4 linked regions of the Pelodiscus sinensis genome follow. The protein of the gene in region 2 purifies or fractionates together with the protein of the main gene of each other region. This does not show direct contact. Links are inferred from orthologs where the notes say so. Each region holds a gene or a part of one and is shown on either strand. Other genes may lie near its edges. The genes, in order: PSME4, PSMB7, PSMG3 and PSME3IP1.

Region 1 (7,185 bases), on a different chromosome or scaffold from region 2:
TATTCTAGAAAGGGAGATTGAACACTGGACAACACTTTTCTGAAGAGAAAACTGGTTGCTTCAGATTGAGATCACAGTTATGTTTTAGGCTTATGGACAAATTTCCTAAATACAAGGTATTGACAATGCTGGTGTTAGTTAATCTAAGACAGCAAGCCATTCTGCAAAGGAATGTACGAACAGTGGATAATGTGATATAAGCCAATGGTAAAATGTGAGATTTCTCATGAATGGAGAGACTGCATTTCCTTCACAGCTAAAACACTTACTTGGATTCATCATTATTCTCAAGATTTAAAGACAAAGATGACAGGTGGCACTGTATTTAATGTGTTCTCAATTGATATTCCTCCTACTTAATAAAAGCTGTTGATGCAAGCAGTGCAGATGAATCCTCAGCTCAGAATCATATGACTCAGGAACCAAATGTGATTTTATGTGCCAAGAGCAGCCAAGACATACTACAAACCTGAAGCACGGATTTATTTTTGACTCTGTAAAACATTTCTGTAGACTGCATTGTCTTGGTTTTTTTTAAACAGTTTAGTGTCAGCACACTAGAGGTACATCTATACTGCACCCTAATCTCAGGATAAGCTATTCATTTTGAGCTATGCAAATTGCTTAGCTTATTTTGAAATTTGGTGCCATCTACACAGTGCCAAATTTTTAAATAGAGCGCTATTCTGAAACGTTCCTTAATCTGCACGGAACGAGGTTTGCAGTGACGTCAGAATAGCATGCCCGTTATATTTCGAAATAACAGGTTTGCTCAAAAGATGTGGAATAGCTACTTTGGGATATTTCTGGTATCTCGAAATAGCTCCGCAGTGTAGACGTAGCCTAGGGGAAAAATGGTTAAAATTATTTCCTTTTTGGAAAGGAGGTAAATACCAAACAATTACAACAAATGTATTTAAAATGGATAGACCATGCAAAACAGTCTGTCTGATCAATACTATTATTGAAAATATAATACTGAATTATTGTTTTCTAAAACTGCTTGTTTAGCTATTTCAGGTTTTCTGAAAAATATTGATCATAGTTGTGATTGCCAAGAAGGCACTTTTGGGGCTAGCAATGTTTTATATGTTGTGGTACAATAGATAAAGTAATGTTTAATTCTGGTTTCAAAGCTAGCTATGTAGAGTAATATTGCTGATTTGAAGTAACAAAATACAATTTTGAAATTAACTTGAAAACACCTGCCAATAACAAAAATGTAGTCAAAATTATAGTCCAATTACAATCAAAATTGTAAGCAATTAAGCAGGAGCTTTAGGGTACGTCTACACAGCAGCGTTATTTTGTAGTCTGCACTACAAGCAATTATTTTGAAATAATGTCCAGCTGGAGGGCTCCTTACTTCTGACTCATGGTAATCCTCATTTCACAAGTAAAGGAAGTAGAAGGAAGAGTGTTCTTCCTTTGACTTCCTGCTGTGTAGATAGTACCAAAAGCCGAATTAAGCTATTTCGACTTTAGCTACGCAATTGACGTAGCTGAATTTGCGTATTTTAATTTGACTTTAGCCCTGCTGTGTAGACGTGCCCTTAGTAAGCTAGATACATCCTTTTCTAGATCCCTCCCGGGCTCGACAGTCCATTTTCTCTATTGACAACAGAAATGGGACTTTCTTCTCCTACTCTAGCTCGAACTCCCAGCCCAAACTCCCTAAGCAAGTGTGAATGTGAACTCCTTCAGCGGTCCATACTATCCTGTTCAGGCTACCTTCTTTTGGATCAATTATTTCACAAAGCCTCCTAATTTCCTTTGTATTAGGACTTTTTCAACTATCCTTGTATCAGGGCTGCAAGGATCAACTCCAGCTCTCTCTCTCCCCCTGCACGCCCTTAGTACCCTTTCACCAAGAGATCTCAGCTGGAACCACTCAGGAATCCTTACTTTAGGAAGATCTCTTCCAGGTCTTTACTAGGTCAGTGCATCCCAAATAAACTATTTTAAAATTAGGGGGTGTTTTTTTATTATCCTTCCAACTTAGGAGGCTTCCTCTTATAAGAAACACACCCCAATCCTTGTGACACATGATTAGTAGTTACCGGACACAAGCACCTGCCCAAATCCATCACTCGAGCGAAGTTAGACTAAGCCCAACTACCCTTGAAGGGACCAAGTTACTCTGGGTGCATCTACACTGCATTGTAGGTTGAAATAAAATACACAATTTGAGCTACACAAATTGCATATTTTATTTTGAAATAGCTTATTTCAATATTTGGCACCGTCTATACAGCACTTATTTCAAAATAAATCACTATTCTGAAATGTCCTTTACTCCTCATGGAATGAGGTTTACAGCGATGTCAGAATAGTGAGCCCATTATATTTCGAAATAATGGGTGCGCTCAAAAGAAGCAGAACAGCTATTTTGGGATATCTTGGGTATCCCAAAATAGTGCTGCAGTGTAGATGTAGCCTCTGTGACAACACTTACCACAGCAGATCAGTATGTGTAATCCAATTCATTTTATACTAGCCTCATCCAATGCCAGACTTGCTTTTTACTTTTTCTTAATTAAAAAACCCCAACAAAGTTATTTAATTCTCTTTTTGTTTAGAGGGATTTAATCAAAGCCTGAATCTGCAACCTTCTGTGAATCATTACCACACAAACTATTAGTCAGGACTTTTGCACTGTCAGTGAACAGCATTCTGGAAGTAGTGTTTAACGCTTATGAAAGAATGTGCCCTGAGGACACTCTGGCTGAGATAGTCAAAGATGCCTAAAAGATTTGGTTGCCTAATTCCTATTACAATTCATACTTTCTAGGAAATACCAATATTTAATTCTCTTTTAAATCCCAATAATTTCACAGATATTGCAGGACAAATGTGATTTTGGCTCTCACAGCAGGGTAAATTTGCTAAACTTCATTTTGGAAATCCATTAAACCACAAAAAGTGTATTTTGAACATCAGAGGGTGTTATAGGCACTTGGCATTTCTGAAAGTCTTATTCAGAAATGCCAAGTGCCTGTGGGGATGGTTCTCTTTTTCCCCACAATTTCCTTGAGCTCATGGAAACCTTTTGAAATGCTCCACAAGTATTGCTTCAGAGGGAGAACATGTAGAACATATGCCTAGAGGGCCATGAAACTGTAATTGTTGATCAAAGTGCTATGTTGTAAACATGAGGTAAAAATGCACTCAAAACAGGATAACCGGTGTGTACACATAACACCATTGTTTCTTACACTGGTTAAATCCCACCATCAATTCTCTGCTGCACTCACATTTTAGTTGTCTAGTTTGATTGCACCTCGGGGACAACTTCACAGTTTTATTCTGTCTCTTTCTCTCCCCCTCTACTTCTCCATATACACACACTATAGACTGTGAATGGATCATGCAGTCCTACAGTGCTGGTGTTGATTTCTTCAATAGCAAGATTATCCTCAAATTAGAGTAGTTTATATTTAGTTGTGTCTGTAAACTGGTTGGAATTAAACTCTCTTAAAATATACTTTGTGTGATCATTCACAGTCAAAATTCCACCCCCTTGTTCCCTTCAGCTGAGGTAAAATCAGCACAGTTTGTAATTAGGAAAACTATCTTTTGCCTCACTTACCAGAGAGATGAGGGTACCAGGTTTATGGTGTCATTAAGACCACAGTCGGGGGATGCCACAGACGCAAGGGTGTATATTCCTCTCCCACACTCTCTATCAAGGGCTGTCAGAGTAGGACAATTTGATGAAGATTTTTTTAAGTGAAAGTGTCTCATTGAAATGTCGGGCAAAATCCTTATTACAGAGAGACTCTAAATACTGCCAGAATGAACCCAAACCTGACAGAGCTGTAGGGCAGGTCAGTGCCTCAGCCCCGCCTCTCGTATCTCGCTCCAGCTCAGTCCCCGCCACACTCCGCCTCGACACCGGCCTCCCCCTCCCGAGCTCCTTTCAGCTCTTCCCACCTCTTTCCTCAAAGCCTCCCTCGGCTCCCACAGCGCCCGCCCCTCTCCGAGCCTCACTGCCTGCTGCCACCCCCCGCGCTCCCCAGAGAGCCTCTCCCACTCAGCCCCCCCTTCTCTGCCTCCCCCTTTCCGCTCCCCCCGCCCCCGCGCAGGAAGTGACCTGGCCCGAGCGGGAGGCGGCTGTTCGCTCGGTGGTTGGTTGCTTCGTCACCAGGAGCCGCTGTGTGACTCGTTAGGACGGAGCCGGGCGCGGAGGGTGGTGGCAGCGGCAGCGGCAGCGGCAGCGGCGGACGGTGCCGGCGGCCATGGCCGAGGCTGGGAGCGGGCCTCCGGGGGAGGCGCCGGGCTTCGTGCCGCAGAAGGAGATCGCCTACAACAAGTTGCTGCCCTACGCGGACCGGCTGGAGGCCGAGGCCAGCCGCCTGCTGGCCCAGATCAAAGGCAACCTGGGCCGCGCCGTGCAGCTGCAGGAGCTGTGGCCTGGGGGGCTCTTCTGGACCAGGAAACTCTCCACGTGAGTCCTGCGGCCTGGCCGAGGCAGCGTCTCCCTGCGGGGCGCAAGGGCGAGCGGGGCTGGGCCGGGCCGGGCCGCTCGGCCAAAGGGCTGGGTGGTGGGTGAGGCTGTATGTGAACATGCCCCCCCCGAGTGCGTGTGTGTGTGTGTGTGTGTGTACACACCCGCCCTCGGCCCCCCGAGTGCGTGTGGGCGCGAGTGGGTACACACTCGCTGTCAGTCCCCGCGCGAGGGTATCAATGTGTGTTTATGCTTGACTGCGTACACACATGCTGTTGGTCTTCTCCCTCCCCGTGTGTGTGTGTGTGTCTATCCCTACTGTCAGCACCCCAGATTGTGAGTGTGTGATAGTGTCTGTATGCACCCTGCCATTAGTGCCCCTGTACTAACCTCCACCCATCTATGTCTGGTACTCTGCTGTGGACATGCCGACATGTATGCCTGCCATTGGTACCTCTTGGGCATGTGTGTATATGTGCCATTAGTACTCTTGGTGTGTTATTTTGTACTGAAACATGGCATTAGTCCTCCAAGCATGCACATTCCTATACATGCCATTAGTGTGTCATCCCCACTTCTTTGGTTTGTTGATGTGTGTACACATGCCATCAGTATCCTGTGTGTGCGTGTTTATATGTTCACATGCCAATGTTGCATGTGGATACATGTGCCATTGGCACTCCCAGGGTATTTGTGGGCATGCATACCCATCTGTCCTCAGTATCCTGCCCCCCCCCCCCCCACTGTGTGTGTACACACCCACCTTTGGTATCCTTTTGCTGCAAGGAGCATATACACTAGGGATGTTAACATGCAGTTATTTAGGTAAACTTTCAGGCTGTGTCCCCTCTGATATAGTGGCAGCAGCACGTTGGGGGGAGGGGAGGCTGATTATAGCCATTTACACTTTCACATCCCTAGTACACACTTAACCTTGGTATCTCTGCCCTCCCTGAGAATTCATGTAGGCATATGTGTGTATACCTGCCCTGGTATCACTTTTGCCTTTAGGGTCTGTGTGTGCCTGAGTGCACACCCGCCTTTAGTACTCTCCCTGTGGTTATGTTCACCCAAACTTCTTATGCCTTCTTGAATGGTATACTTATATGTGTGTGTGTGTGTGTGTTTTTGTGTGCATGCCAGGTTGCTTTCTATAACTTGCTCCCTAGTGTGTGTTTGCCAGTTGTCCTTTGTATCTGGCTCCCATATGTGTGACCCCAACTGGTGTGGGTGTCTTTTAGACTATATCCCTTTCTTTTCCCAGAGTTTTTGCCTAACATTAATGCTGGGAAAGTATTGGGGGCCAAGGTGTCTAAAGGCTGTGAAGGGTGTGTGTGTCAGTGAAAGCAGCGCAAGCTGTGAGTGGAGGCTCTCTCCTTTAGCATTTGACAGTAGAGAGGCCCCCAACTCCCACACTGTGAGTCTGTCCTGTGTGCATTAAACTCAAGCACTCATTCCTCTCTGCCCTCAACAGCCAGAGGGACCTTTGTCTGGGGCTATTTATAATGGTGACACCAGCAGGAACTGGGACTGAAGCCAGGTTTTAGATTGTTGCAGGTTAAATCCTCTTTTTAAAGTATCCAGAACTGATGTTGGTGCCTTTGGGAGGTGCTGCTCTTGTTTGGGAGAAGCTGGGGAGCTTCTGCTTCTATTTCCACAACTTGTGCAATCTTCACTGTAGGCTCATATTGCAATAAAGACTAGACTTCTATTTCCAGGCTGCCTAGTTCTGTTAGTCTCTGGCCAGGACTACACTAGCAGAGAAAAAAGTTGCAAGATACACAACTCCAGCCATATGAATTGTGTAGTTGGAGTCAGTGTACCTTGCATTGATTTTTCTGAGGCAACCCCACAGTTGAAAGTTGGTGGGAGAAATTCTCTAATTGATTTCCCTCATTCTTCCGAATAGTGAAGAGTACCAAAGATGATGGGGGCTCCTTCAGCATTCAGTTTAAATTTTAGAGGATCTTGAATAGACCTGCTAAATTGAACCCTAGAGGATTGATTTCCAGAGCATCGCTCCTCTGGCAAATGGAGGCGTGGCCTTTGTGAACAGTAATGGGCAAACTAGGCTATGAGTGGGCCGCATGAGTGGCATTTCTTCATCTCAGTGAGTTGCACAATTCTTGTAATCAAGACTGTCTCCCAGGACAGGTTAATTTTATTAACTGCAGCTGTGCTTGCGTACCTAAAATTTGTGGCTGTACCTGTTGAACTCTAGCAGCACTTTGACTGGATGCAGAGGGAGCACATGGCTCTCATAGTCAGTGTTGTGTGCAATCAGCATTCACTCGCTTAACATGCATTTCACTTTAGTAATACTGTTAAATAAAAAAATTACATGGACAGATACCAGCAAAATCTGGCAAACCTGTGCATGGGCAATGGTAAACAAAAGGTCTAGTGGGCCATGCATAGAAAGCAAAGGGCCATCCATAGAACCCATGTGGCTCGCAGGCTGCCCATCACTGCTTTGGAAGGAGGGTATTATTGCCTTTAAAGAAGATAGATACTCACTAAGCCACTTAACTTGTTTTGCCAGAAATTGTACATGACTGCTCCATCTCTCCTGGAAATAAGTTTGTAGTTGTCATTGCTGCCGAGGGTAGCACGCAGATTTTTGTTCAGTGGTTTCTTCTGATGTGTTGCATGTAGATGTGTACTTTGTGGGGAGTGGACTTAGGTAGGGCAGTAGTTCTGCTTTCCAAAGAGAGGTTATATTGTAGGGAGACTGAATT
Region 2 (6,902 bases):
ACCAATGTAACCCTGGTACCTGATGGACAATGTGCAAACATGAATACAGGCATTCAGAATAAAAGGATAAACTGTGTTTCACTCTAACATAATACATGCATTCTGAAAACTAAAGTATTTTTTCATTATTATAACAGGTTGTTTCTCCATGCGTAATAATCTAAATGTGCATCTTTCAAAAACATGCCAGTCTTAACCATTAGCCAATATTAAATACAGCCACCTTATTTGATCTGCCCTTTGTTTTGAAGCCACACAGTTATTTTTACTTTATATACTAACAATTTAGATATTCATTTCTATCCCATTCCCTTAAGGTCAGGTGAACCAGGGAATAGTTTATAAAATCCTGATAATGAACACAGTCTCCTTCAGGGTAAACTAACATTTAACTTAAAAGAGCGTATTTCCCAGTTATACCCAGTGTCTGTGTTTAACATAAAAGTGAACGCATAGAGTTACCTGAAAAGCATCTGTTTGAGCATTCTATTAGCTGTGACAACTCTCGGAAGCCGTCCAGTAGACAAGGAATGGAGCTCAAGATTGGAAGAGATCAGCTGAGTTGTCATATCAGTATCTGCAGCTGTCCCAGCACCACAACAACTGGAAAACATTTTTGGCAAGTTACCAAGTTAAAAACTCTTAAACCTTTGTTTTTAATTAACGTCCCTGTTCTTTTGGTCACTAGAAGTAGAACTGGCTTTAAACTTCCATGAAGTGTAAAAAGGCCATGCCACTACAAAGGTAGAAACTGGCTATTCAGACAGGGAAAATTAAAATTATTTAATGTGCCAGATTATTATCATCTCCTCAATTTGCTTTGATTTAATCAAATCCAATAAGAGTTATAGTTTCCTGTCCCTTGTAGTATACAAAGACGGCTCACATGCATTCAGAGTTAACAGGCATCTGCACAAAAAGGTCCTTCACTAGCAACTGTAGAGTGACGTGTCACTGCTTCCTACTTAGATACACTCTTGGAGTTATTTCAACCCAATCATTACAGCCTTATGCTGGCATAGGAGGAAAAATGAAACTGACAGGATACTAACTGTGATGCAAATTTGCCTATTTTTATTGTCTGGCATGAATGACCACCAGAAAAACCAAACTACAATACTGGTGAAATTAACTACCATTTCAAAGTTCTCATTGTGTGGCATTAGCAATAAGGTGCATAGTTTACAAGAATCAACACTAAAATTAAACTTTACTTTCTGTAACACTGGCAGTTTTAATACGTACTAGATATTGGGAGAAATGAAGTGTATTTTTGAACAGTTCTTGTCAGCAACAACCATCCCCTCAGTTGCTCTTGTATCTGCTCCAAGGACTATGCCATCCTACAGAAAAGAAGAGATACTTAATCAAAAATTTGTCAAGATCTAGAAAAAATGCATTATTTTATTGCTCATTTAGAGTAGTCTGTCTCATTCAATAACAGTAACCACTGTCACTGCCTACAATTCTTACAACAATAATGTACCCTCACAGAGAGAAAATGGTAAAGACTAGGCTGTAGAAGAATTTGTAATTGATGATGATGGAGTCTTTTCTTTTTTTAAACACAAGTTCCCATAACACCAAATATACAGCAATGTAACAGGAAAGAGCAAGTGTACTAAACAGAGTTTTTGAGTAGGAATGTGTGAATGGTTAACTAGTAAACATCACCTGGCAGCTCCACCAGGCTGGAGCAGCCACCTACCCAATGCAGGCGGGGACTTGCCCTTCCAGCTAGGACTGATGCACCATACTGCAGGGGATGGAGGGAGGAGTGAACTCCAGCCTAAGGCCGCTCCAGCCCCAACGTCCACCCCCATTTTAGCAGTTAACTGGTTAAACATAGTGTTTAACCGGTTAACTGATTAAAAGGGATTTTACATCCCTACTTTTGAGTGAAGAGAGATGACAAAGTCGGCAGTGGACAAGATGCCGCGCCCAGCAAGCAATGTTAGCTGAGGAGGCCATTTCTGGAACTTTCAAGTGATGACTGTCTGGATAGTAGACCTTAACTGAATACAGGAGGCCCCCCGAGATGCGACCGCCTGAGTTCTGACTCCCTGCACTTACAACCAATTTTGTAAGTACGGAAGGGGCCTGAACCCCCCGACTTACATTCTTGGCCCGCATTTACGACAGGCGCACGGCACCTATTGTAATTGAGAGTTCGAGTTATGACACCCCCGACTTGCGATGCTTCCCTGGAACCGATCACAGCGCAAGTCAGGGACCTCCTGTAGATAAGACTTCATGTTATTCTCCACCTAGGTTTCATATGGTATGCATTGCTACAATGTCTCTTGCCACCTGAAGGAACAGTCAACAGGTCACGAAAGCGGACGATGCTATATATCATCCTTTTTTTGCCTCACCTTGAACACAACGCCAGCAATTGTGGTGCCAGTCTTCCGGGCTGCAGGGAGCCGAAAACCTTTCTTGGCAAACTCTACATCCAGGAGTGCATTCCTGGAACCACCAGAGGACCAAAAGGGAGAATGAGGCAGATAGAGCATCCCCACAAGCCAGGCTGTCATCCCCTCCCGCCTACGGCTGAACTGCCCGCCCCCCCAGCCACTCTCCTTCCCCCGACACAGCTGGCCCCTCCCCCCTGCAGACCCCCAGCAACCCCCCTCCCCCTCACACACACACCTGGGCCCCGCCCTAGTAACCCCTCAACCCCCCCCACGCCTGGCCCCGCCCCCCAGCAACCCCCCTCCCTCACACACACACGCACCTGCCCCCCCCCCGCCCTAGGCTGACCCCCCCGGGCTGTGCCAGGCTCCGCAGGCCGAGCTCCCCCAGCCGCCTCCCCCGAGTCACGGGGCCCGGCCCGGCCCGGCCCGGCCCTCACCGCGCGCAGTTGCCGAAGCCGAAGCCGCCGCTCGGAGCCTGCAGCACCGACACCGCCGCCATCTTGCCGCCGGGTGGTGCTGCCGGGGCGCCGCGTGACTCAGCGAGCGCGGGCCGCCGCTTCCGGGTCACCCGCGGCGCTTCCGGGTCACCGCCCTCCCCGGGCCTGAGGCGGCCCCGCCCCCTCGCGCAGCTGGGGGCGGGTCCCCGGGCGCGTGTCCGGCGCGCGGGAGAGATGGGCCGCCCCTCCCCCTCCCCCTCCCGGGTGTTACTTGGGCCTAAGCCGGGGTGGGCAGCCTAAGACCCCCCCAACTCCCCCCCACCCCTCCAAACACCCCCAACTCCCTCCCCCCAGACCCCGCAGCTTCCCCCCCCCACACCAACCCCCCCAGACTCCTCCAACTGCCCCCACCCCTCCACTCTCCTCCAAACACCCCCCAACTCCCTCCCCCCAGACCCCCCAGCTTCCCCCCCCACACACCAACCCCCCCAGACTCCTCCAACTCCCCCCACCACCGCCACCCCACTCCCCCCCCACACACACCACCCAACCCCCCCACCCCTCACCACCCTCTAACTCCACCCCACCCCCTCACATACACACACCCCAATTCCCCTCCACCCTCTCCAGCACATCCCACCCCAGCTCCCCTCCATCCCACACCCCCCACTGGGCTTTTCACGGGATTTTAAAGCAGCAGTGCTGCAGGGAGCCCATGGTCTGGCCCCAGGCTCCACATGGCACTGCTGCTTCGAAGTACCCCCTCCCCCGCTGCAGGGAAACGACTAATCACCTTGCCTGTTGAGTATTCAATAAGTATTTGCTTAGCAGATAGTCAACTAGTCCTTCACGTCCCTAACAAAATCTGCTAGCCCCCCCCCCCCCCCCCACTCCACGCCAGGTTCTGGAGTGCGAGGGGAATGTAGGGAACCTCAGTCCACATCAATGAGGTGGGTTTTGCTTCTCACTTGTGTGCCACCCCCAACTGATTTTTTTAGTGGGTCAGCAGTCCCTGACCCAAAAATGTTTCCCCAGCTCTGCATTAAGGAGCCAGTGGCAGCTCATGTGGCTTCCTCCAGTCAACACAGCCCACATTTTGCTTGCCAAAGGGTCTCAGTGTAACACTTTTCCATGCATGGTAGACCAAGAGTGATAAGTATATTTGAGAAAATTTCAGTCCGTTTATGGCCATGGTGTCCAACTAGTTCTGGAGCAGTAGCCAGTATAGCAGCTACTGCTATGGCAAACTAGCCACATTATTCTGAAACTGTAAATCTAAAAAATGTAAAGCCACCTAGCCACACTTGACTGGCCAAATAGCCACACGTGGCTAATGGCTAGCGTGTTGCACACCACGGGTTTATAGACTTGTGGGAGAGGAGAAGAGAACTAGAAGGGAGAAAAGATGAAAGTCATTGAATACATCAATCATGCGCAGGGCTCAACAAACCGCTGTTTGTAGATTTCAGCCGGTCGCTCCGGCGCATGCACAGTGCCAATCTGGTGCATACATGGTACGGGGCTGGTGAGTAGTTCTCACCACAGTTTGTCGAGCCCTGATCATGCATTATTCCAACTCCAAAAACAAAAACCCACAACCAATAACAGATAAGACATTTTCCCAAGAAATGTCATCTGAGATGTATGCCTGTGATAGGTGTGATATGTTACAGACTAACACTCTGATCCCTGCTAGTGCTTAGCTTCGTTACCCTGAGTGGCCTCATTAAAATCAATGGGATTGGTTTATGGTAGTAAAATTAAGTGCCTGCATCCATCACTGGAATAAATTGCTTAGGGAGGTTGTAGAAGCTCCATCACTGGAGATATTTAAGAGCAGGTTAGATAGACATCTATCATGGATGATCTAGACCAGCATTTCCTAAAGTGCATTCTGCGGCACACTGGTGTGCTGTGAGGCAGTCGGAGGTGTGCTGCAGAGAGAACAGAATGCAAAGGGACAAGCCTCTTTTTTTTTTTCTCAACAACTTTTCCCTGGGGGCTTTTTTTTTTTTTTCCTTAACAAAGAAATCCTTGGTGTTCCCCATTTAAAAAAAAAAATTGTTTGGTGTTCCTCGGTCTTAAAAAGTTTAAGAAACACCGATCTAGATGATGCTTGGTCCTACCATGAGGGCGGGGGACTGGACTCGATGACCCCTCAAGGTCCCTTCTAGTTCTAGTATTCTATGATTCTATGTTGGCAGGATTGGGACCTAACTTGCAAATCTTCCCACAGAAACTGGTCCTGTTGAGTTGTGAGCAGGATCATGTGTGAAAGACCATAGGTTATCTCACTGGAACGCTATGTGACCAGTGCATTCTGCTTTAAATAGGTGAAGGTTTCAATGTGAGAGAGAGACCCCAGAGCAAAGGTTTGGCCACCATCACATAAGGCCTTTGATAGTGAGGGATCCAAACAACGTTCCCTCTAATTTTTTACATCCATGTACAGGATAAATTTTGTTTCCATCCATCCCTGGAATAAATTTTGTTATGTGCACCAAGGTGCAGATGTGCACCACCAATAAAAATGCATGCCTGCTAATCAGCTGGGTGGCACCTGAATCTCTCCTGGGTAGCACTCAGCTTACAGGGAGCACTGGAACAGAAGTAAAGGGAAGAAAGCAGGGTGATTTTGGAGATGTACCAACAAGAAACATCATTTTAAACCAGTACAATGCTCGCCAATCATGGATGTGCACCATTAGCCTGGTTTATTTGAATAGACTTCAACGTTTTGTTCCCCCTGCTTCTTGCCTCTTTCCGCTATCTCCTGCTCATCATCATCTGATCCTATTTTTCACACAATCTCACCTTCCTCTCACTTTGGACCTTTCTCCACTGGAGCTTGGGCTGAGCATCTGGCCTGCTCGGCAGCAGAACTTTGAGCTCTGAGCCCAGCCTTTTATACTTCTGGCCTCAGCAGCCACCAGTTGCCATTTCTAGGGTGGGAAGGAAAACAACTGTGTCTTCATCACTAAATTAAATACATTTTTGAATGAGATAATATGATGGGGTTTGCCTGCAATAGCAGAGGACTGGATGACCCAAGAGGTCCCTTCCAGCCCTATGGTGCTAGCTTCCTATATATATGGAGAAGGGGAAGTGGTCTATCTATTTAAAAAAGTCCTCACTCATGTTAAAAAATATAGGAAAAACCAAGAGAAAGCTGAAATTGTAAAGGGAAACACGTGATCAGCGGGGGCTATGGACCTTCTTCTAGGGACAGTCTAACTCTAAAATGAGAGCACACAGCATAGACACATGAAAACCACTGGCTGCATCTAGATTGGCATGATTTTCCAGAAATGCTTTTAACTGAAAAGTTTTCCGTTAAAAGCATTTTCGGAACAGAGCGTCTAGATTGGCACGGACGCTTTTCCGCAAAAGCACTGTTTGCAGAAAAGCGTCCGTGCCAATCTAGACGTGCTTTTCCGCAAAAAAGCCCCGATCGCCATTTTTCCAATCGGGCCTTTTTTGCAGAAAACAAATCTGAGCTGTCTACACTGGCCCTTTTGCGCAAAAGCTTTGTGCAAAAGGGACTTTTGCCTGAACGGGAGCAGAATAGTATTTCCGCAAGAAGCACTGATTTCTTACAGTAGGAAGTCAGTGCTTTTGCGGAAATTCAAGCGGCCAGTGTAGACAGCTGGCAAGTTTTTCCAGAAAAGCAGCTGTTTTTCCGGAATAACTGGCCAGTCTAGACACAGCCATAGAATAGAGTAAACTTCATTAAGCATTAAACCCTGATCCTGTGAAAAAACTTGCCCACTCACTGCAAATAGTCCAATTGAAATCATTGTAACTATTCTGTGCATAAAGCTAAGCAAGTCTTTGCAGAATCCAGGCTTATGACTTCCAAGACATTAACTATCATTGTGATTACTCACCTCATGCTGCTTTAACCCATCACCAGCTGTTGAATTTTTGATACTGCTGTTGGTTTGAGGAAGACCAGCTGGGGTTATTAATCCAGCTGGAATACATCAAGCAAAATAGCCCCCAGAGGCCTTTTGAAGAGAAGAGACAGTAGAGTAGTTTGTGAGAGTGT
Region 3 (7,522 bases), on a different chromosome or scaffold from region 2:
TTTATAGACTAATGTAATTTTTTTAAAAAGTGAAGCATTAGCAGGAAAGAAGGGATATAACCCCTTTTAATTAGGGCTTCTCTAAAAATATGCCTTTTGGCACATCCATCTTGCCACATATATTGATCTAAAGTTTATTTTTGTTTGAGTTTGTTTCAGAACTGATTTGCGGTTTTTGGCAGCATGCATCACCAAAAAAGGCTGGGCTGGAAGTATTTCCTCAAGGTTGTTTACATTAATTAACATATAATACAAAGAAGCAGACAATGGACACCTACGCAAGATCTGGGGAAATAATTTCTCCCATATGTAAACAGGAAGTGCCACTGATTAACATAAGTATCAGAAACTGAATATGCTTTTCTGTTCCATGTTGACAAGCGCACATCACACCAACGCTGTAACCATCCTGTCTACAGGCAGACACATCCCACATGAAGGAAAGAGAGCTTATTATTGAAGGGTGAGGGCTACACAAAGACCAGCTGCTAAGAGGATGAGCAACCTGTCACATTGCTGAGTTTGGTTTTTTTTCTGTTTGGGATTAGCAAGCAACACTAGATAGTTCTACTACAGCACTGTAAAACTAGGTAAACTTGCAGTATACTGTAACTTTGTATTTAGTGCCTATCTGATCCAAAATTTATTATTGTTTTCTCTTGTTTCTGAAAAATAGTAATTGAGAACTCATTTTAAATTAAAATGAATTGGATAACTGTCTTATCTAAGGAAACTGGTGGTAAGCACAGTTGAGGGAAGGGGTACCAAAGTTGATTTTGGAAGAGGTAAAAGTGGGGAGAAAAAGTGCTCGGATGGGGGAAAAATACTGTGACAAGCACTGGAGAAAGGATAGTGAAGGCCATTATGTTTGTTCCAGCACCACTGAAGTCAATGGGAATGGCAAAGCTCCATAAAAATAACCGAGTATGAAGTGACAGAACCCTTATACGCTTTCAGTGTAGATTTAATTAGACATTTGTTATGTTAAACATACCTTTAACATGAATACCCAAAATGTACTGATGAACTACACCCCTCTTAGTACAGGATTTTTTAATCTTACCACTGCACAACTGCACATCAGCTGCTTGGCAGCCCAAGCAGGCTCAAATTCTGAGCCAGTGAGAGATTCCCCCTCAATATTCAGGGCCACATACCTCATCCGTGCCCAGCAGCACTTTCGTGGTGAGTGACGGTTTGCTGATATCACTGGCTACTGTGCTGGGGTCCACAGAGACAAGCGTCCCCATCTTCCCATACTGCGTCACCACCACAAGAATGGAGTTGGAGAAGGCCGTGCATACCACCTCTGTTAGGATACCCCTCACCACCTCCTCCTTCTGCTTTGAAGTCACAATAGATTTTGCTGCCATGGCAGACGTCTTAAATGCTGAGTAAAATAATATACTAGTATTAGATATAAAACATTAACTAAGAGTCATAAAAAGGCTCAATATTTTAATTAAATTTAAAATATCAGTGTTGTTTTAATGGCATAAATATGCCCATAGATGTAAGCAACTGGTGCAGCTGTATATAAATAATCATGAACATGTGATGTCTGAGTGTATCTGACTCAGAAGTGAATTGACATTACCCTCTTTAGTAACTTAGGCTACACACACATGTTGCTATTTACAGGCTTTTATGCCATTCATAGTTTCACACTGCTTGAAACTGTTATTGTGTCACATGCAACAGATTATACAGTCCTACCAGTCCTGCATCCTGACGCCCAAAGGCCAGGTCTCCTGGATCCCACTAGAGCGGTGTTTCCCAATGTTATTTGGCCACGGAACCCTTTTAAACTCGAAAGAATTTTGCAGAACCCCTTACGTGATATATAACAGGCAACTGCACCACTGACTGTCTGGCACACAGTGCTGAGTAGTTATTGTAATGGAATTTTCTCGCGGAACCCATATTTTCACTTCCGCGGAACACCATTTGGGAAACACTGCACTAGAGCATGGTTTTGCTCCAGAGGACCCAAATCCAGAACCATTTTGCCCAACTTCCCAGCCCAAATGTCGAGGATTGGGATAAAACGGGGCTAGTAGAACCATCTGTCTTGTACTTAAGGGCACCCCTGAGTTGGCATCTGGCATTCCCAAGTCAGCGATTCCCATTTTGTAACCCAATATTTGTATCTTCCCCTACAAACTAAATCCAGGGGGAGGACTTTGGTGGATCACTTAGCGCCCCTCACACTCATTGCACGCCCCCAGTTGGCCACGGCCTTACCGTCAGGGGAGCAAACAAGATCCCAACTTCAGATTAGGCCCGGCTTTCGGTTGCCAACTTTCCCGACCGAACGGACCGGACGCCATTGCTGCAAAAGGTGCCCGGTCGGCAAAGTTGGCAGCCCTCGGATCCCCCCCCCCCCCCCATAAACCCACGCAGCAGGGCACGGGCAGGCTCAGAGTCACGCCACGAGCCCACCCCGCTGCAGCCCCCCGCCCGCAGGGGCTCGCCGGCAGCGGGAGCCGGGCCCAGGAAGCCGGGCGCTATAGCGCGGCCGGCAGGTAGGCGAGACCAGCCCGGGAGAAGGGGGCGAGCGAGAGCAGGGCCTGTCCGCCCGGCCTCACCCGGCAATGCCGCCGCGTCCTCCGCGCTCCTGCCCGCCGCGTCCGCTCTGCGCCGCCGCCGAGTCACTGAGCCCGCCCCGCATGGGCGTCCCCGCCCCCCGCGCTCCCTCCGGGCCCAGGGGAAACCCGGCGCCCCCGCCTCCGTCCCTGCACCCCTCAGGCTCCACTGAGCCGGGAGCCTCCTCTGCACCCTCAGAGCGGGGAGTTCTCCCTGCACGTCCGCGGGCCCCACGGGGAAGCCCGCCCCCCCTTCTGTTCCCACCGTATCCCCACAACCTCCTGGCCTCACCTAGTAGAGATGCCCCCTTTTCCCAAGCCTCTCCAGGCAAGGCGCCCCCCCGCTGGCGTTACCACGCTGGGTGTCCACCCCTGCACGGCTCTAGCCCCACCAAGCGGGGAACTCCTCCTGCATCTGGGCCCTTCTGAGCAGGGAGCTCCCAGTATCCTGTCCAGTCCCTCCTGCATCCTGGCCACAATGAGCATGGGATGCCCCCCCTCCAGGCCTGGCCCTACCCTGTGGGGATCCTAGCCCTGCACCCTGTTCCTTCCGGTATCATTCCTCTCTGGCCCCACAGAGTGGGGAAGATCTCCATGCACCCAGCTCACCCTGTCTCCCACATTTATCTCTCCCAACCTTGCAGAGAAGGAAATTCCCCTCCACACCCTACTTCCCACACGCCTGCTATCCCCATAGAATGGGAGACCCCTGCACTCCGCATACCCTCCAGGTTCCCTCAGAATCACACACTGGGGAAGTTCCCCCTATATCCAGCTTACCCCATTCTCCCTGGCCTCACTGAGTGGGAAATGCCCCTTTCAAACTCAACACACTTCATACCACTACAACCCTCCACACACTAGGGATATAAAAACATAGTAACCATGTAACCAATCAAAATTCTATTGATTGTACAGTTAAACATTTTACCTGGGGATGTAGGGAAGGAAGGGTGCTGGAAGGCTCCTGGCTGCTGGCTCCACAGGCTTCTGACTCCATAGTCTTCGGCGACTGGCCCCATGGGCTCCCTGCCCCACTGGTCTTGAGGACTTCCAGCCCCATGGATTCACCTTTGCTGGCCCTCAGCACTACTGGCTGCCAGCCTCATGGGCTGTCAGCCCTATGCTCCCTAGCAGAGTTTAACTGTTAACAGGAACAGATAAGCATCACCTTATTGGTTAACCAGTTAAACTCTTAGGGTATGTCTACACTACCCCACTAATTCGAACTAGCGGGGTAATGTAGTCATACCGCAATTGCAAATGAAGCCCGGGATTTGAAATTCCCGGGCTTCATTTGCAATTGTGGTATGCCTACAGTACCCCGCTAGTTCGAATTAGCGGGGTAGTGTAAACATACCCTCACATCCCTACCACACATACACTGAACTAGGTCAGCCCCTTTCCAGTCAGCTCCTTCCTTGCTCCCCCAAAACCAACACAGCATGGTAGACCTCTCCGTATTCAGCAAATGGGAGGAACCCTCGCAAACCTGACAGACCCATCTCTGGCTCTTGCCCAATCCGTATGAGAGAGGGTGGTGAGAAGGAAGAGGTCTCTATTAAGTCAACAGACTCAATCCCTCTGCAAAATAGGCATAGCGCCTTTTCAGTTTTTAGTATTGAAAGCATTCCCTCTAAGGCTTTGTCTACACTGGCGACTTCTTGCGCAAGAAGCCGCGAGTGTAGACATAGCCTAGAAGTGTGATAGGAACTGTCAGAGCCTGCTTTCTAGCCTGGCAAACTGGCATAGTTGCCCTGACCCAACTCTTGAAATGCTGATGTTCCTAGTCATTTAAACATCTCTAAAGTATTGGCTGTATAAACTCCAAGGGCATTCTGAAATGGCCTTGACTTCCTTTTGTGCCATCTTCTGCATGATTTAAATTCTTTAATTGTTCTCTTGTGTTTTTTCCATCTATTCACCAGCTAGAGCAAAGTTCATGCTGCAGAAGACTCATCCTCTGTCTCCAAAGAATCACAGCTTCCCATCTGTGACCAGAATGTGAAGGTCTTTGTGGAGAGATGGAGGTTGGGATAAGGTGAATCTTAGCCTCAAAGCAGAGCAGAGCAATTTGGCAATGGCTGGATTTCCTGTTTCCACATAGGGTTCTGAGCATCCCAGGCTTTTCTCTCAAATTTTAAAGGCACCTAAAATTTTAAAGGTATGATTAAAATTGGCAAACAAGAGAGAACTCAAAACCTGGCTTGTCACATTTGAGTGGAAGGGAATTTTGGTTGTAAGATGCATGCTCCATAGTGTTTTCATCCTTGACTGTTTCCTGTAGACTTGAATGAGTCATTGAGATCATGCTGGATGGTGGGGACTTTCTTTTGGCCATTAAACTCTTCGGGAATATTTTGATATATATGATGCTGGGCAGAGTGAAGGATCAGGCTGCAAATTGGATAAATCTTGCCTTTTCGTTTGTTATGGTGGACAGCATGGCTAATATTATTGTAATTTATTTGTAATATCATAGTACTTAAGGGTCAGTGTATGAACCTATAATGCAAACAGTTACATCCTTTTCAGTAGTCCCACATTTTTCTTCATGTGCCCTAATTCATGTTTCAATCAAAACTGTAAAGTAGCTTGTACAGAGTGGCAGAATATCCTAAAGGATACAAGATCACAAAGAAAAAACAGTTTCTTGCTATTTTAACCAGAAAGGACACTCTCTCAATGACTTAACCACCTGCATTCTGCTACAAAGACCTTTTACATCTGCACTTGAAAGGGAATCCTCTGAACTGTCATTCATGTTAAAATTCGACACTCTCCGAGAAGGAATGAACAAACACTCAAACTACCTTACCCATTACCAAGATAGCTTCCCCAATTATCACCTCTAATACCATTAGCTCACAAACATCCCCTCTCCCCACTTCTAATATCATCAATTCACAGACACTTACCTTCCTTCCTCCCCCCCCCCCCCCGCATCCCCCTCCTGTTCTGAAATGTGATTTGTCCTTTTCATGTGTGTTCATTTTTTTAATTGTATCCTTTGGTATATATGGTTGTGACTATTTTCTTCCACTATTTGATCTGAGGAAGTGGGTCTGGCCCATGAAAGCTCATCATCTAATAAACCATCTTGTTAGTCTTTAAAGTGCTACATTGTCCTGCATTTTGCTAAAGGATACAGCACTGGACTGGGTCTTTTTTTAGGCCTGATAGATGACCTTGGGCAACTTACTTCAACACTTTGTACCTTGGTTTCTTCATCTGCAAAATGGGGATATACGATTTAATTTTTGTAAAGGGCTTTGAGATCTACTGATGAAAAGCACTATGTAAGAATGGGAGTGTTTTTATTGATTGACAGCTACCACACACAGATTTCATGACAGAAGACAGCCATTCATTCGGGCTACGTCTACACTGGCAGCTTCTTCCGGAAAAACTCTTTTGCGGAAGAGTTCTTGTGCAAAAACTCTTCCAGAAGAGAGCGTCTGCACTGGCATGTGCTTTTGCGCAAGAGATGTGCTTTTGCGCAAGAGCATCCATGCCAGTGTAGACGCTCTCTTCCGCAAGAAAGCTCTGATGTCCATTTTAACCATAGGGGCTTCTTGCACAAGAAATTCATGTTGCCTGTCTACATTGCCCTCTTCTGGACGAGCTCTTGCGCAAGAGGGCTTATTCCTCGTGGGGAGAGGAATAACTCTTCCAGAAGAAGCCCTGTTTTACAACGCTATACTGTAAATTTACTTCTGGAAGAACACTCGTGCAGTGTAGACAGCCATCAAGTTTTTGTGGAAGAATGGCTGTTCATCCGGAAGAAGCTGCCAGTGTAGATGTAGCCTTGATGTTGAGAAAAGAAAAGAAAAGAAAAGAAAAGAAAAGAAAAGAAAAGAAAAGAAAAGAAAAGAAAAGAAAAGAAAAGAAAAGAAAAGAAAAGAAAAGAAAAGAAAAGAAATATTAAAAAGTTAATACATCTGTAATAACCATCTTAAAAACTTTAGTTTGTTTTTGTTTTTCCAAAATTCTTGACCTTTGCTCATCCCAGAGTAATATTTTTGGCCTAGATACATCCCTAAAAATATGATTTCTTAAAGAATATCCAGTGTAATACTAAATTATATAATGCTAAGTGTCTCCCAAACCTTTATTTCAATTTCCCCCTCACATCTTACCCTTCTACCACACAAACCACCCTTGACAACAAAGATTCTGAATTTTGGATCACCTGTCCAAACATTTGTAAAGACTTAGTGTTCTGAATTGTTTTTGCATGAAAAGTTTAACTGACTTTAAATGAAGTTAACTGCTAGTCATAGTGCTGCGAGTGCATTAATAAACCTCCAGAGGGCAACAGAGTTCCATGGAAAATCTCTGAACAAGACAGAACTGGGAGACTTGATACCTTATCATCACCCCTTCTTGTCATCTGGCAAATCCCGTTTTCCCTCCCTGTGAAGAACCAATATTTCTCTCCTGCTTACTACAAGCATTCAAGGGGTTGCCTGTGTGACTGAGATAGTGGCAGCTGCTGTCAATAAGTCTTCCTGTTGAATTTCCACTATATCTACCTTTGCGGAGAATTCCATCTTATGAAAAGAAAGGCATCCTATTGCTGTATCCCTGCTAACCTCCCGTTCCCTTTGTACATGACTGGAGCACAGAAGGCTCCATTTGATCTCAGGCCATAGGGAAACCACTCCTACCTTCATCTGAGTGACAAATATGACTTTAGGAAGTAGGAGACTTTTATCCTTTGAATCAAATGCTAATTCCACCCTGTCATGGGTCTATGGACCGTCTCCGAGTGTAACATACAGGCAGACACCAGCAGATGTTTGAACCTGCATCTTAAGCACCAAAACCCCATAATCTCCTGTCATTTATCCAAAATATCTGTCAATAACAAGGGTTCTTATACTTCATATGAGCCAGCCACTCCAGGGAGACATGAAAACATGCACCAAGCCAGT
Region 4 (7,392 bases), on a different chromosome or scaffold from region 2:
CAGCCCTACTGCACTGCCACGGCAGCCCCCAGTCCCGCTGCTGGGGCTCTCAGCTTCACCACAGCAAACCACTGCCCTGCCAACGGTGCTTCTGGCACCATCAACCTTGCCATGGCAGCACCGGCCACGCCAACCCCAGTACCACCGCCAGGACCTACCCCACAGCAGCAGACTGCTGCTCAGCCTCCAAGGTTTCCTACCCTGCCAGCCCTACAAGGGCAGCACAAGCTCTTGCTAGCCCTGCTGTGGCAGCCCCCTGGTCCAGCCGGTGGGGCTTCTGGCCCCACCACAGCAGACTGCTGCCCTGACGGAGCCCACTCGCATTCCGGCCACCCTACCACTGGTTTAGCCGGACTCCTGCAGCAGAGCTCCCAGCCCCTGGCTTCCCTGCAGCCAGGTTCCCAACCTCCGCAGAGCTCCTGCCTCTGGTCCTCCACCAAGTCTCTTTGGTTCAACATCATCTGCGGTCAGACTAGACCACAGATGTTGCTGGACCAGGAAGTCCCAGTCGAGAGAGGTTCAGCCTGTTGTAGTAAGGGTAGCAGTTCCATACCCTGTCCTGCAAATTCCTGTATGGGTCAGAACTCCTACAATTACAACCCTGTAAACTTTCAAATTTAAATAGCTATATTCACGAAATGTATTATATTAAAAATCCTATGACCATGAAATTGACTAAAATGGACCGTGAATTTGGTATGACTCTACTAATAGCTGCTAATATTCTGCTAGCCTTTTTAAACACTGCAGTCCTCTGAGCAGAGGTTTCCATAGAATTAGCCAAGATGACCCCAAGATCTCTTTTGTGGATGGTAACAGCAAATTTAGGACACATTTAGTACCTGTGTAGTTGGTATTTCTTCCAGTGTGCATTACTTTGTACACTGAATTTTATTAACCATTTTCTTGTCCAGTCACCCAGTTCTGTGAAATCCTTCTGTAACTCCTCATTGTACCTTGAATAATTCTGTATTGTTTGCCACCTTGGCCCCTTCACAATTCACTCTGTTTCACAGATCAAGAGAACCTTGAGGGACTCTGCTGTTCACCTCTGTCACCGTTGTTAAAAAAAAAAAGTCTTAACATCATACTTTGTTTTTTTCCTGGAGAACTTCTTGGAGATCTCAGGTCTTCTTGTTCATCTCATGAGCTCTTTCTCTCAACATTTAAGCAGCTGTGGTGGCACCATCAAAGATGTAACCAAGATATTAATTCTCCCAAGTGTTTTAGACAATGGAGTTAAAACAGAGGTTTGAACTGAGATTAACACCTAAGAGTCTCTCCTCCCCTCCTTCTTTTATAAGTCATTAGAGATTTAGAGAAAAAAAAAACAAAAAAAAATATTTCTAGCCCTCTCCATAAAACACAAAGCAGTGGGGTAAAAAAGTGCACACTTAATTTCTGATTGCCTTCTGTGACGGGAGTCAGAGAAGGTCAGAGAAGGCAGGAGGGAGACGGGGAGTGGAGCAGAGCGTGGGCGCAGAGGACATGAAAGGAGAAGCGGAGGTAGGAAGCAGCCCAGGATGGGGCTCCTTAGTGTCTCCGCTCTGGGCTGCTTCCAACCTCCGCTTCTCCTTTCACATCCTCTGCCCCCACGCTCTGCTCTCTGCTCCACTCCCCGTCTCCCTCCTGTCTTCTCTGACCTCCTCTGACTCCCGTCCCCCTCCTCTCTCCTCCGCTCTCACCCTTCACTCCTCTGCCCACCACTCTCTTCTAGCTCTCCCCTCTGTTCTCTCCTCTTCTTCTGTTACTCTCCTCCGCCTCTTCTCCCCTCTGCCTTCCCTTTGAATGCAGCGCTCTCTTGCGCCGGTGCCTCTCCCCCTGATGTCAGGGATGTACGCACACTCTGGCCCCGCCCTACACTCACATGTGGCCCCACCCCCGCTTCCATCCCAGGACTCGGCACCCCTGCATGCTGCTCAGCTGGGCGGCCGCATGGGAGCAAGTGGCACAGACCGCTGTCAGAACGCTGCGCTGCCCGTGCAGCGGGGTGGGTCGGCACCGCTGAAGTGCAGGGCGGGTCGCTCTCACCGCCGTGGGGCAGCTCCGCCCCGTCACAGCTTGCTAGCTGCCAAAATCTACCTGCCATGGGCGAGCAGATTTGTCAAGCCCTGGTTATAGAATACATATAAATTGAAATTTGGCCCATAATCTAACCTTTGTTTAAAGAACAAACAAAAAATCCCCTCAAACCTGGATTGAAATGTTTCCATAATTAATAAAAACTGAAGAGATCCTCTGTAAAATCTACAATTACTGTAGAGTAGTAGTAGCATGGTAATAGAAAATATTATACTGACTAGTTCGTTATATTTCTTGTAGTTTGGAAAAATTATAGAAAATGAAATGCATAGGGTTGCAATGAGTTCTCTGGTATGTATAATATGACAGAACATTTGATTTAATCCATGATTCCTTCTGGGAGCCAGATAAACGCAGAAGGATTTCAAAGCTTGTACTTTTTTATTTTTCAAGTAGGCCTTCAGTTCTCCAAAGCACTGCAGAGCATGTGTTTAAGTTTAAGCACTCTTTAGTGTGCACAAGGTTTATTATGGCTTAGAGTGCCTTGCAGAAACAGGGTCTTGATATTAATATACTACTAAAAAACAAAAAAGTCCTTTTGTGTTTAATAGCCTGTGTGTACACATAAAAATAATTTTAGCCAAGCAAACTGTTCTACTGAAAGCACCAGGACTACTTGTATGAGTAAAGATTATTAATGGGAGTAAGGATACAGCCCAATATATTCGTGGCTCCTGCTCATTTTCGCTCACACAGGCGAACTCTCTGACTTAAATTCTACCTGAGAGAGGACAGCAAAACCTGCCCTCAATAATGGAGATCCAGATAGGCCAAAAGGTCACAACTGCACGTATAATATAGAGACCTTTTGGCCTATCCGGAACTCCATTACCTTAAAGTTAGTCCACTTTCCGTTCTACTTCAGAGCATTCTTTTACAAATACAGGCAGTCCCCGGGTTACGTACAAGATAGGGACTGTAGGTTTGTTCTTAAGTTGAATTTGTATGTAAGTCGGAACTGGTACATATTGTAGGGGAAACTCTAGCCAAACATTTCTCCAGAGCTCAGTTTTATTCTCCCATACCTCACTTCCCTCAGTCCTTTATTCTCAAGCTGAGGTGTCTGCTGAGAAAAGCCGCTCCACGTCTCCCAAGTCTGCTGGGGGGGAGGGGTGCTAGCTTCACGTCTCCCTGGTCTGCTGGGGGAAAGCAGCTAGTGCAGGGTTTTCTCACCCCGTTTGTAAGTAGGGATCCGATGTAAGTCGGATCCATGTAACCCGGGGACTGCCTGTACTGCCAAGTATCCATCTATAACAGGACCAGAAATCCAGAACACAGGAACCCTTGCCCGTTAGATACAGCCATACCAAAGATCATTTGAAATTATGGGAGTCTAGAAGGGGTGCCCGCAAACTAGAGGACGTCTAACTTGTATGCAACAATCCATCTACCCTTATTTCCATTGTTAGAAATAAAGTAACGGCGCGTAATAAGGCGGTGGCACAGCCTACGCGTTTACAACCGCCACTTAGAGCAAATGCAAATCAGGGATGCCCGCGACTCATCTCGGATCTCTCTCTCTCACGCCCGCAGCATGCCCCGCCAACCAGCCAGCGGCAGGCAAAACGGGGACTAAACGGCCACCAAGGCAAGCAAGCCCCGCCCCCCGCCCCCCCTGCCCGGGCGGGGAACCAGCCTCCAATCGCCCCAGTTCCACAGCAGCAGGTAACGGGACAGAGCCGTGAGCCCCCGAGCCCGCAGCTCCGGCCCACACAGCGGTCCCCGCCCCCAGAGCGCCCGCCGGGGAACCGGGGCAAGCCCACCCCACAGCCACCCGCCTGCCCAGAGCCTCCGGGCCAGACCCACTCACCCGCCTCCCTCCGGTCCCCTCGCGGATCCGCCCAGGGAGCCTCCCTCCCTCAGCCCGGGAGCGCCCCGCCCGCACCGCTGAGGGGTCCCCGCGGCTCGCAGCCCCTCTCCCCTCAGCATCCGCGCGCGGGGCGGGGGCTTCCGGCCCCGACCGGCTCCCCCCTCTTCGCGGTACCTACCGGGGCGGGGCCGCGCGCGTGCCCCGCTCAGGCCGGCGGCCGGGCAGCGCTGCCCCTTTGTGCCATCCAGGCGCGGGGTGGGAAGATGGAGGCGCCAGCCCGACCATTCCGCGCCCCACCCCCGCCCCGTCTCCCGGGCGACTCGCCCAGCCCCTTCCCCCCGCACCAACCAATCCGCCTGCGGGCGCCGAGCACGTGACGCTGCATCCAATCGGGCCGCCCGTCACGGAGCTCGGCCAATGGTCGCTGTGTTGTGGGGACGGCCGAGGGAGTTGAGAGCCGCCGTTGGCTAGTAGTGGCCCTGTGAGCGGAAGAAGGCAAATGATTGGCTGGCTGGGGCGGAGAGGGGCGTGGCTCCGAGGAGGCCGAGGCCCCGCGGGGTCAATGGTGGCTGCTGAGTGGGGAGCGGTGCGCCCGTCGCCGTAGAGGCCCTGCTCTGCGGAGCGCCCGGCCGGCCGGAAGGTGGGTGGGGTCCCGCCGCGGGAGCGGGCTGGGGGCAGACGCTGCGGGGGTCTGGCTTCGGGGGATAAGGCCGGGCTGCTGTAAAAGGGGGGACTAGGGGGAGGCGGGTGGCTGTGGGGGGGGGAGGGGCGTGGGGGTAGGATTGGGGAGGCGGGTGGCTGTGGGGGGGAGGGGCGTGGGGGTAGGATTGGGGAGGCGGGTGGCTGTGGGGGGGAGGGGCGTGGGGGTAGGATTGGGGAGGCGGGTGGCTGTGGGGGGGAGGGGTGTGGGGGTAGCTTTGGGGAGGCGGGTGGCTGTGGGGGGGAGGGGCGTGGGGGTAGCTTTGGGGAGGCGGGTGGCTGTGGGGGGGAGGGGCGTGGGGGTAGCTTTGGGGAGGCGGGTGGCTGTGGGGGGGAGGGGCGTGGGGGTAGGATTGGGGAGGCGGGTGGCTGTGGGGGGAGGGGCGTGGGGGTAGGATTGGGGAGGCGGGTGGCTGTGTGGGGGAGGAGCGTGGGGGTAGGATTGGGGAGGCGGGTGGCTGTGGGGGGGAGGGCTGTGGGGGTAGGATTAGGGGGAGCCTGGGTGGCTGGGGGGGGTTGGATTATGGGGAGATGGTGTCTGTGTGGGGTAGGGTTGTGGGGGTTGGATTAGGAGGACACTGTGGCTGTGTGCAGTAAGGTTGTGACAGTGGGATTAGGGGGAGGCCAAGTGGCTGTGTGGAGTGGGGTTGTGGGGTTTGGATTATGGGGAGATGGTGCCTGTGTGGGGTAGGATTGTGGGGAGGCTGGGTGGCTGTGTGGGGTAGGATTGTGGAGGTAGGATTAGGGGGAAGCTGGCTGCCTGTTGAGTGGTGTTACAGGCAAGGGGTGGTGAGAATAAGGTTACTGATTTTTGTTTGGTGATGTGTGTTGAATCTGGTGCCATTCTGCCTTGGAATCCAGCTCCCTTTGGAATAATTGGCAGGTGAGTTGGGTAAAGGTGATACAGTGTACAGTATGGCTAGGCAAGAACAACTGCCTCTTGGTGTTGATTACAAGCTTCTTCTGTATAAGATCTTCCTCTGGACTCTTTGATGTTTAAACTAGCATTGTTGGGATGCAGCATTAATAGCACTTCAAGATGAGTAGACTAGTTCACAGCTTCAGGCTTGGACAAACATCTCTTTGTTAGTCTGCCCCTCTATCACTTTGTTACACTGTAGGATACTTTGAAGATTTTCAATGAGGATGACAGTTATTTGTTTGTGTTACATTAGCAGCTATAAGTTGTTGATTATGAACTTATTGAACTAAATAGTAGATGCATGTATAGTGAAAACAGTCTCTACTCCATAGAGCTAGCGATGGAAGTAAAGATGAGGGCTATAAGATTTATTTTTTTTAATGAAGGTATTCATTTTGTGGCATCTGATATCAGCCCACATTGGGGGGGGGGGGGGGGGAAGTAATAGTTCATCAAGCCAATAAGAGCTGCCCCAATTGAAGTTCTGTAAAAACATCTGCCTTTCTTCCTCAAGTTGCTTGATGATGGCAGCAGCCTGTTTCAGGTGTTGTTTGTAGACTGGCACCCATTAGACTGTGTATTTGGTCCTTTGTCTCCTCACAAGACCACAGTTTCCAGTGTTTATGTGTAAGAGTCTAGTGAGCTGAGAGCTCTTTCTACCTGCTTACAAAAGCAGAGCATGCTTGGAGGTATGGTGGTTGAATGCTTGTAGGAACTCAACCACTGGCAGTTTGGATATCAATAGTTGGAAGCTGATTAAGTTCTTTGGGGGCATTAGTAAAGTGCCAGGACAGCAACTCCAGAATATCCTCTGCCTCTTGTAGATATTTGGAAAAACTAGAGAGAGAAATGGATGTGGTTCTTGTAGGTTTCAGTGCTACCCAAAGGGTTCTGAAAGGCAATAGCAATACTTATTGAAGAATAAAGGAAAAACTTAAAAAACAACAAATACTCTAGTAGCACTCTAAAGACTAACAAAACATGTAGATGGTATCATGAGCTTTCGTGGGCACAACCTACTTCTTTAGATGACCGGAGTGTTGGAAGTCCAGATTCAAGAATAAATAAGGGAAGGGGGGAGGGGGGGGGAGAAAAAAATACAGTGCGTAGATAAGTTTCAGAGTGATAGTCTGTAACAGGAAAAACTTCAACAACTAGTCTAATAGCATCTGAAAAACTAAATAGTTACAAGAGGCTGATAAGAACCATTAGTTTGCACTTGGAAAGGAAGATGACCAACAGGAGATTATACACAGACATAAATAACCATTAGCACCTTCATTGTTTGGTTGGTTGATAATGTGTGAGCCATCCAATATCCCATTCAAACTAGTAGCATAAGAATTAAATTTGTGAATGAAGTTAAGGTCCAGTCCTTCTCTGTGTATTTGGCTTGTGGAATTGGTCTGAAACAAAACAGCAACTTGGAGATCCATTAATGAGCGTCCAGGAAGATTAAAGTATTCTCCAACAAGTTTTTATGTGTTGCCTTTGCGGATATCTGATTTATGTCCATTAATTCTTTCCTGTAGAGACTGTCCAGTTTGGCCGATATACATTGTAGTGGGGCATTGGGCTACCCCTCTGAAGTTATCAGTCATTTTACTTTTGAACTTGGGAAAAGGTCTGCGAAACTTCAGAGATCCTTAGGCTGTCCACTTTATTAGGGAAGATAACACTTCGCATGGGAGAGTGCAAAGGGTGCCAATGTACCACCCTCCCATGGTCCTCCAAGCTGGCCCAGCTGAGCCACGTGACAGCTCCTGGACCCTCCTCAGCCGAGCTGAGCTGCACAGTGGCTCCCGCCCAGATGAGCTGAGCGCCTGCTCTATTCCCCTTCCCCTCACAGCCCAGCTGAGCTTCACTCTGGCTCTTTGGC

Evidence for each region.
Region 1: the proteins of PSMB7 (region 2) and PSME4 purify together in Homo sapiens (affinity purification with mass spectrometry; 3 studies listed by BioGRID and IntAct, counting the BioPlex papers as one, with this or other methods). This does not show direct contact. The link is inferred for Pelodiscus sinensis from reciprocal best matches to the Homo sapiens genes PSMB7 and PSME4.
Region 3: the proteins of PSMB7 (region 2) and PSMG3 purify together in Homo sapiens (affinity purification with mass spectrometry; 3 studies listed by BioGRID and IntAct, counting the BioPlex papers as one, with this or other methods). This does not show direct contact. The link is inferred for Pelodiscus sinensis from reciprocal best matches to the Homo sapiens genes PSMB7 and PSMG3.
Region 4: the proteins of PSMB7 (region 2) and PSME3IP1 purify together in Homo sapiens (co-immunoprecipitation; 3 studies listed by BioGRID and IntAct, with this or other methods). This does not show direct contact. The link is inferred for Pelodiscus sinensis from reciprocal best matches to the Homo sapiens genes PSMB7 and PSME3IP1.

What each region holds. Positions count from the first base shown.
Region 1 is NC_134713.1:175,089,682-175,096,866, reverse strand, and holds the start of PSME4 (proteasome activator complex subunit 4), read left to right. Parts: upstream 1-4,166; 5' UTR 4,167-4,238; coding exon 4,239-4,447; intron 4,448-7,185. UniProt on the Homo sapiens protein: Associated component of the proteasome that specifically recognizes acetylated histones and promotes ATP- and ubiquitin-independent degradation of core histones during spermatogenesis and DNA damage response.
Region 2 is NC_134732.1:24,377,600-24,384,501, forward strand, and holds the start of PSMB7 (proteasome subunit beta type-7), read right to left. Parts: upstream 3,012-6,902; 5' UTR 2,917-3,011; coding exon 2,855-2,916; intron 2,470-2,854; coding exon 2,376-2,469; intron 1,344-2,375; coding exon 1,246-1,343; intron 604-1,245; coding exon 463-603; intron 20-462; coding exon 1-19. UniProt on the Homo sapiens protein: Component of the 20S core proteasome complex involved in the proteolytic degradation of most intracellular proteins. This complex plays numerous essential roles within the cell by associating with different regulatory particles.
Region 3 is NC_134726.1:27,444,441-27,451,962, forward strand, and holds the start of PSMG3 (proteasome assembly chaperone 3), read right to left. Parts: upstream 3,010-7,522; 5' UTR 2,878-3,009; intron 2,704-2,877; exon of another isoform or gene 2,589-2,703; intron 2,379-2,588; exon of another isoform or gene 2,245-2,378; intron 1,391-2,244; 5' UTR 1,374-1,390; coding exon 1,158-1,373; intron 1-1,157. UniProt on the Homo sapiens protein: Chaperone protein which promotes assembly of the 20S proteasome. May cooperate with PSMG1-PSMG2 heterodimers to orchestrate the correct assembly of proteasomes.
Region 4 is NC_134722.1:43,288,266-43,295,657, forward strand, and holds the start of PSME3IP1 (PSME3-interacting protein), read left to right. Parts: upstream 1-4,378; 5' UTR 4,379-4,532; intron 4,533-7,392. UniProt on the Homo sapiens protein: Promotes the association of the proteasome activator complex subunit PSME3 with the 20S proteasome and regulates its activity.